Linked DNA regions of Neurospora crassa OR74A. The protein of the gene in region 2 purifies or fractionates together with the protein of the main gene of each other region. This does not show direct contact. Links are inferred from orthologs where the notes say so. Each region holds a gene or a part of one and is shown on either strand. Other genes may lie near its edges. The genes, in order: NCU04344 and NCU04640.

Evidence for each region.
Region 1: the proteins of NCU04640 (region 2) and NCU04344 purify together in Saccharomyces cerevisiae (affinity purification with mass spectrometry; 4 studies listed by BioGRID, with this or other methods). This does not show direct contact. The link is inferred for Neurospora crassa OR74A from reciprocal best matches to the Saccharomyces cerevisiae genes SUI3 and GCN3.

The regions. Positions count from the first base shown.
Region 1 is NC_026504.1:3,704,118-3,708,076, reverse strand, and holds NCU04344 (translation initiation factor eIF-2B alpha subunit), read right to left. Parts: upstream 2,554-3,959; 5' UTR 2,236-2,553; coding exon 2,156-2,235; intron 2,059-2,155; coding exon 1,104-2,058; 3' UTR 724-1,103; downstream 1-723. Other genes in the region: egt-1 (DUF323 domain-containing protein), read left to right, coding at 1-124, 193-637; NCU04345 (adaptin ear-binding coat-associated protein 2), read left to right, coding at 3,311-3,959. UniProt on the Saccharomyces cerevisiae protein: Acts as a component of the translation initiation factor 2B (eIF2B) complex, which catalyzes the exchange of GDP for GTP on the eukaryotic initiation factor 2 (eIF2) complex gamma subunit.
Region 2 is NC_026505.1:1,363,724-1,368,099, forward strand, and holds NCU04640 (eukaryotic translation initiation factor 2 beta subunit), read right to left. Parts: upstream 3,035-4,376; 5' UTR 2,669-3,034; coding exon 2,657-2,668; exon of another isoform or gene 2,184-2,656; coding exon 2,042-2,183; intron 1,991-2,041; coding exon 1,340-1,990; intron 1,230-1,339; coding exon 1,163-1,229; intron 1,108-1,162; coding exon 1,008-1,107; 3' UTR 361-1,007; downstream 1-360. Other genes in the region: NCU16952 (hypothetical protein), read left to right, coding at 3,760-4,000, 4,101-4,210. UniProt on the Saccharomyces cerevisiae protein: Component of the eIF2 complex that functions in the early steps of protein synthesis by forming a ternary complex with GTP and initiator tRNA.

The DNA.
Region 1 (3,959 bases), on a different chromosome or scaffold from region 2:
CTTACATGGGCGGCCGTATTCCCACCTTCGAAGAGACCCGGAGCATTTACGCTTACGCCGATGCTCTCAAGAAGAAGAAGGAAGCTGAGAGACAATTGGGAAGGACGGTTCCGGCTGTTAATGCGTATGTCCCTTCGACTTACTCTCCCGTGTCCAGCTCGCACTAACAATATCTTTCCCATTGATAAACAGCCACCTAACCAACAACGGCGTGGAAATCACTCCCCCATCCTCTCCCTCTTCCGAGACCCCCGCCGAGTCTTCCTCCCCCTCCGACAGCAACACCACCCTCATCACCACCGAAGACCTCTTCTCTGACCTAGACGGTGCCAATGTCGGTTTTCACAACTGGCACCCTATGCCCATCACCTCCAAAGGCAACACCCTTGTCGGGCAAGGCGAGCTCGGCGGCGTGTGGGAATGGACTTCATCGGTCCTCCGCAAGTGGGAGGGGTTCGAGCCGATGGAGCTGTACCCCGGCTATACGGCGGATTTTTTCGATGAGAAGCACAACATTGTGCTGGGAGGGAGCTGGGCTACGCATCCGAGGATTGCGGGGAGGAAGAGCTTTGTGAATTGGTACCAGAGGAATTATCCTTATGCTTGGGTGGGGGCGAGAGTTGTTAGGGATTTGTGAGTCGTTGTGTTTGTATGTGTAATGGGTGGTGGACTATGGCTGGTTGGAAAGTGAAGACGACGTGAATAGCGCAGTCTTGGTTAGTACTCAGATGGGTATCTTTTTCTTGGTTATGAAATTTCGGTCAACTACATGTATATGAATGGGGTGGTTTCATATGTCACTCCACTCGATCAGGCATCCCTGGTTTAACTTTAGCACGTACTTTGTTTTCCTTCACAGGCCAAGCAAGTGAGAAAAGAGACTCTTTCATCAACCAAACCTCCAAAGGATATCAGGTACCTATCCCATTTCCCGTTAAAAACGCCTAATAATGCTGCAAGGATATTTACCACAGTAACCACACCGATAACTTGAAAATGATCAAGCAGTTCCATCCATCCATCCATCCATTCATAAAACCGCCCTTTTGTTACCCACGCTTTTCAACACCTTTCACCTTCAGTATCGGGCAGCAAGACCCCCCTCACTTCTCATAATCAACCAACTCCCAAATCTGACTCGGCTGCTTCACTCCCTGCTCCGTCACAATGCCATCAATCAGCTCCGGATCGGTATAATCCACCTCATCGCGATCCGCCACCCAATCCCTCGCCTCTTGGCCTACAGGGTCAACGCCCACGTTGTCAAACTTGCTGATATCCTTCTGCTTGACGCCGACCCTCAACACCTGTGGGTGCCAGAGGGGCGTCTTGCGCACAATCTTGTGACTTTCCGCAGCAACCAAGAAGCGCTTCTGCGAGCCGCCCGCGAAGCGCGTGAGCAGAGCAAGCTGCGAAGTGCCCATGCGCGAGATGATGCCGCCGTTTTGCATGACGACCTCGCTGCCGACGAGGACGATGTTGATGTCCTTTTGGTCCTTGAGGACGTAGGCCACCTTGGAGGTCGAGATGGTCTCCACCTCCAGGCCGGCGTCGCGCAGGGCCGAGACGCTGGCGTCGCAGTGCGGACTGCCGTCCATGACGTAAATGACCTTGAAGTGCGTGTTGGTCCGGGTCGTGGCGGCGTGCACCAGGATCTTGGTCACCACCCGCGAACCGCCGGCGGCCAGGACGATCTTGCGGTGCGACATGTAGCGGGAACCGATGACGGCAATGTTGTCGCGGGCGGCCTTGGCGCGGGCGGCAAAGAGCTGGCGGTTGTTGAGCAGGTGGCGCTTCGTCTCGTCGAAGGACTCGGCGGTCTGCCCTCTAAGCGACCGGAGAAGGTACTGCTCGAAGAGGTCGGCGCCGGCTAGCAGAGGGAGAGGGTTCGGGGCCGAGTCGAGGAGGAGGGCCTTTTGGGTCTTGACGACCTCGACGGTTTCCATGGCTGTTGAGGAAGGGGTGACGCGCAAGAGCTCGATGAGCGATTCGATGGCTGCTACGGGCATAGTCATGTCGGGGTCGGAGGTGAGGAGGTCGCGGTAGGTTTTGACGATGCTGTTTGTTTGTCTTGGTCAGAGGCAAGCAATGCGACGAAAGGGTTCAGCGCGGTTTGGTTATGACGCGTGTGGTAATTACGCCAAAGCAAACTCACTCGAACGAGGCGCCATCAGTGGAGGTGGACGATGTCGTCCGTACCGCGAGCGGCTTGTTGGATAGGTCGTCGGTGGCCATGTTTCTATGGGGGTTGTTGGAGAAGACGACAAAGTGTGTTGATATTGTGAAGGTGTGGGAAGTGGTTTTCGTTGCCAAAACATACAAGTCCTCCCGGGAGGAAGCACTGTTGCGGCGGTCGATCCAAGTGGGGAGGGTTCGGGGTGTTTTAGTCACTTGGGAGACTTGGAGCAGGCAGGCAGGTTTTGGCTTTGTCAAATCGTACAGGTTTATGTATTGCGACAATGATCTGGTTTGTGGTATGCAGAGTCGATAAAATGCAGCGTTTTCTGAAGAAGCGTGCGTCTGGTCTGATCTGAAAGTGTGACTCAAGATGCGTACCTACCTCTACTAGCTGTACATGTAACCTTCTTCATCCCAAATTCCCAAGTGCGGGCGGCCCTTTGAAGTATTCTGCCGCCACTCACCGTCCTCAATGCGTACCTACTACTGAGTGTACCTACTGCACGTCAACGAAGCTCTCCGGCCATTCTTTGTTTCCATTTCATGCCCGCTAGGTATGTGCCCCGCTATCGGCAGCTGCTAGTGTACACTACTACCTAGCGGGGTTGTTGCTGCCCTGGGTGATTTCCATGCCAGGTGTTGCGGCTTGTCACCGCCGCCCACCAGTCACCTCACGGACCTTTCGGGGGCTCTTTACAGGGTCGAAACACTGAGGGTCCCCCCTGGGGCTGCGTGGATCCTTTCTACTCCAGGCTGCCCCTGGCATCTGCGCTGCTACCACTGTTAGGTACTTCCTGTGGCTTCCGCCCCGCCGTCCGCTTCCATGGAACAGGGGCAGCAAGGGGAATGTGAAGCTAACTTAGGGGTTTCTACAGTAGCGGAGGACCCTTTACCGTCATTGTCTCTTTCTTCATCGGGCATTTGAAACTACCTAGGTGTATGGACCCGTTGGTTGGCGATGTTGGCTTCAGTCTCTTCTTCTTCTTCTTCTTCTTCCCCCCCTGGCTTCCTGTTGAGCGTCGACTATAAGTTGCCGACATAGGGACTAGGTACGCTAGCAAGCAAATCACAAGGACAGAAACACCATTACGACCGTGACCACCACCACCACCACCATAACACAACACACATCATGACGACCCTCATAGACCCGGCCACGCAGGCCCCCCTCCCGGCCGATGCCATCCAGCGCATCCTCCACATCACCTCCTCCTCGGTCCACATCTACCAGATCCCCCCTATGCGCTCGACCAAGGGCCACATGGCCGCCGACTGGACCGCCGACCCCAAGGCGCACATCTTCACCGGCCGCGTGCGCATCATCGAGACCTCGATCCCGCCGCAGACGCCCGAGCAGATTGGAGAGAAGGACACGGTCAAGGTCGACATTGTGCTCGAGGACCCTGCCACAAACGACCTGATCGCCGCCGCCCCCTACACCACCCAGGCCGTCGTCGAGGCCACCATCGACAGCAGCCGCTTCTTTGCCCTGCGCGTGCAGGATCCCACCACCGGCAAGAAGGCCATGCTCGGCGTCGGCTTCGAGGAGCGCAGCGAGTCTTTCGACTTTGGCGTGGCCCTGCAGGAGGCGCAAAAGTCGCTGGGCCTCATCGAGGGCGTGGCGCCCCTGATCAAGTCAAGCAAGAAACAGGAGGCCGAGGAGAAGAAGGATTATAGCTTGAAGGAGGGCGAAACGATCACGGTGAACTTGAGCGGGACCAAGTTTGGGAGGAGAGCAAGGCAGGATCGCCCCTTGTCGACGGACCTGGACAGCAATTCAC
Region 2 (4,376 bases):
CGGATGGTCATTTTGGCTTGTACCTGGTGGTTGTGATGATGAAGGGGAAGACTTGAGTGATGAGTGGAATCGAGCAGGTAAAGTAGTGATGAGTCACGTTACGCGTTGACTTGGAAAGTGTTGACTAATCTATCGAACAGACAGACGAGGTTGAACCGTTGAGTTGTTGCCTGCGGCCCATCGTCTTATATGGGTTTGTTGATGCAAAATGTGGAGGGGAAAGATTCTCCCGAAGCTAACTATCATGCATGTGCTCGGCATATCATGGATCGATCGCCAAAACATCGGAACGTAGTGTATACGCAATGTATACGCGTCAAGGTGAGATTTCGAACCTAAGCGGCCGCTTTTTCTCACCAATCGCGGAGTATCAAGGTTTATCATTTTACTCAACTGCCACTTTGAGTTTCGATAACATAATGTAGTTTATAAAGGTAGACTGAATGGCTATACATACTGCAAAGAACAGAGAATAATTCCTGTTCGCAAGATCTCAAAATCCATCGCTTCGTAATCCTGCGCTCAGTCAGCCTCTTCCTTGCTCTCCCAGTCTAGCTTGCTGACCATGGTCATGAATGACCTGAGAACCTCTGAATCCCACATCAGTCTAGATACAACCTCGCAGCCCTCATCCATATAAATCAGACAAGCTCAGGAAAAGAAGAAAGCCCTCCTCTTTATCAGACTCCCTATGCAAAGTAAGGATAAGTGTGCCACCATCATCAAAAACCAGAACTTTTTGTGTACCAATTCTTCATCAAGTATCGTCATATTAACCCGTACCCTACCGCGTAAGGAATTCACCTGATTTTGTAGCACAGACTCTCTCTTCCATCCTCTCTCTCGTGTACTGGAGATGAGAGATTGCCGTTCAGAGGGGCCGTGCTACTTCGTAAAAGACCCGTGCCCAACCAGCCATATACAATGCCGTCTTAACTCCGTCCTTGAAGCGTGAAAACATTGAAAAGCAAACTGCAAGGGCCTCGAAACAAGAAAACAAAAACCGCTTAACCCTGCATCTTCTTTCTCTTGCCGACCTGGGCAGAGAAACCGGTCTTAATGGCCTGGACAGACCGCCTAGAACCGCAAGAGTTGCAGGTAATGAAACTGTGACATGTCAGCATTTTGGGGCTATGGTCGTCGTAAACAGAGGCCAACTTACTAAAGACGGTTCTCGCCCTTGGAGAGCTCGGTGTTGGGGGAACGGCACGTCTTGCAGGTAACGTACTCTGTTGAGCATGTTAGCATTTGTAGTCAGAGCAAAACGTTGGGTGCTGGTGGTGACATTGTCTACTTGGGCGCAAAACGTCCAAACGACGACAGGATCAAATAGACATACCGATAATGTAGGTACGCAGAACGTTCTCGATCTGCTTCTGCTGGAAACGACCCTTGATGACCAGACGCCTGCTGCCGTCGACGGAACCGCTGGTACCCAATTCGGCGAAAAGGTAAGAAGTAACGTGCTCGTCGGCTCTCTTCATGCGCTTGCAAATCTCGGGCAGGTTGGCGAAGATGGTCTTCTTGTTGCCTTCACGGAGACACTGCGGGGGCGGGATCTTGTACGACCGTGTACCGGTAGAGGCGTGGTCGGGGTTCTTTTGCGAGAGAAGGGCGAAGAAACGGGACAGAAGAGCGTTGTAGCTGATGGGCTTGGTCTCGTCGTGGGCCCAAATGCCGGTGCCCTGGTCCATATCGCCCTCCTGCTCGTCCTCCTGGGGGGCGGCCTCCTCGCCCTCCTTGCCCTCAATGTTGAGAGCCTCCAGCTTCTTGGCGAACTCATCATCCTCCTTGACGACCTTCTTCTTCTTCTTTTTCTTCATGGTGAGGTCGATAGCACCGTCACCCTCGGCAGGGGCGGCCTCATCAGCAGCGGCGTCGGCATCGTCCTCCTTCTTGACCTTCTTCTTCTTCTTCTTCATGAGCGAAAGGTCGAGGCCATCATCGGCGGCGGGGGCGGCAGCAGCAGCAGCATCCTGGGGCTCGGTGGCTTGGGGGGCATCAGTAAAGGCCCCGAGAGCGGCGTGGAGGGGCGGCGTACGAGCAGAGTGGGACTGGGCAGTCTCCTTGATTTCGTCGGCGGGAGAGGCGTCCATGGTGACAGAACCGTCGGGGTTGACAACTAGCTTCTCGTCGGTAAAGGTGACAGACTTGCGCGAGGGGCGTCTTTTGATAGAGGGCGCCTAAAGGGTTAGTATATCGGAGTGGATAAGGCGCTTGTCGTGGGAGTCGCGATAGCGGTCAAGGATTTCGCCGTCGAGTGTGGATAGGAAAGCTCGGAATTTTTTGGGATGATTGGCGGCGTTTTCGCGCTGCAGAGTGCCAGAACTTTATGGTGGATTTTGGGCTGGGGGTGGAGGGAGAGGGTTGGCGCCTTGGAGGGGCAGTACACGTCAGGGGACTTGAGGGCTGGGGCCGGGGATAGGTATAATTGCACTGCGTAGGTAGCAAAGTACAGTGAGGGGTGTGCAGTGTGGTGAATGGGACTTTTTATTTCCTTAGTATTTTTGACTAGGCGAGAAGCGTGGCTCCCCCCAGGGCTCGAGGTGTCTGCCTCTAGCGTGGTGGTAGGGTCGGGGAGGACGGAGGGTGTGTTGTGTGGGCGTAGAGGTAGTGAGTGTGTACTGAAGCAAGGAGATCCATCCCAGGTACTTACTTCAGAATCCATGCTGGGCCACTGGTGTGTTTGAGAGTGTGGTGGTGTCTGTCTGTCTGTCTGTAGGTGTGTGATTGTCCGTCTTTTTCTTTGTAATCGATGTCTCTTCCGGTGGACTCTTTGTTGGTCGCAGAGAGTGGATTTTGTCGATGGATGAGATTAGGTAGACTTTGGGGTCGGGAGAGGTATCGATGCAGGCAGACTGATCTCAGCTTTCTTTCAGTTTCGGACCTGGAATTGTTCTTTGCGGGGACCTAGGTAGTTGGATGCCGCTTGGGTCCTGGTCTGGTTACCTACTACTACTGTCGTTTAGTTCTGTCGTTGGGCTGGAGACTGAGCGGAGTTCTTTCTGTACACACGGCTCTGGATGGGGCACCGGCACCACGCCTCAGCTGTGTTCACCTCATGACGTTGATTGAAGCGAAACTGTGAGTCAGTCTTCTCAATCACCTGACAAGTGGGGTGGGAAGAGCTCAGACAGCTGCCCGCCACTTGCAACTACAAATCGCCTCCGCTTCTCCATTTTCCAGGCCATGCAGCCCTCCTCCCTGCAGCACGGTGCCTTCAACCCGCTCGAGCCACGGCCGCACAGTCCGACACGGTTGGGTTGGCACTGGCACTTGCAGTCCGGTGCAGTGCTTGGCGGCAGCGATAGGTGAGTGGTGTCCATTCCAGCATCGCATAGCTGCACTGCTGCAGCAGTTGGTGCCGTGGCCCGTCATCGGTCACCGACAACAACCAGCTCCATCACGAACCTTGGAAGGCGCGCCGAGTCCGTAGAGGTATCCATCTCCGTGTATCGCTGTGTTCGTAACCGACAACGAATCTCCCAGCAGCAATCAAGTTCGTCCCACGCGATTTCTACAATATCCTACACGTCAGGCGTTACGCCGATTCGTACAGTGTCTCCATCCCGAACTATCGCAATTTGCCCGAGCTACGATAGCTACTTACAGTACCATCTTCACCGCGACAACCGACCGTGCGCCGGCGCCGACCACTTGCTCGCCTCATCCAAACCACACTGACGATAGCTACCTACTCCCGGCCAGAGACGCGATACCCTCAGACAGACAAATTGCGCATTCGGGACATCCAAAACCATGTCCACCCCCTCCGATTCCTACGTCCTCCACGACCACTCCCCGTCAACCGACAACGACGATGTCGACTCCCTCCCGTCCATCTCCAGCAGTATCCTAGGCTCGGACGACTCCGAGTACGACGACGAATCAGACGCACAAAAGGAATGGGAACAGAGTCTCGAGCAGCTGCAGCTTCTCTTGAACTTGGTGCTAATACCGTTCGCGGGCAAGTTTTTGGGGCGCAAGTTTGCTTATTGGAGTAAGACAAACCAAAACCAGATCTTGGGAAAGACAGCTTGCGCTGTGGGAGGAGACAATAACGACGATGCGGAAAGTCAGTTGCTAACATGGCCCGGCAGGTTGGGGACGGTACATGGAGTGGGCGCACGGGGTCAAGGTCCAATGGTATAACAAGACGCTATTCAACATTGCCGGTTGGATAGGAGCTGCTACGCCAGTATCAGTATGAGGGAGGCAGACAGGCGACCGTGGTGATGAGGTACTCGAGTCAAAGGCGACGGCAGCACAATTCTCGATACCCTATTTTTTCGGTATAATCTGGGATACCAGGGGTGGACACAGTGCTCTTTTGGCGTTACGGTATGGGAACACTAGCATAAAGGGGTATGTTTCGT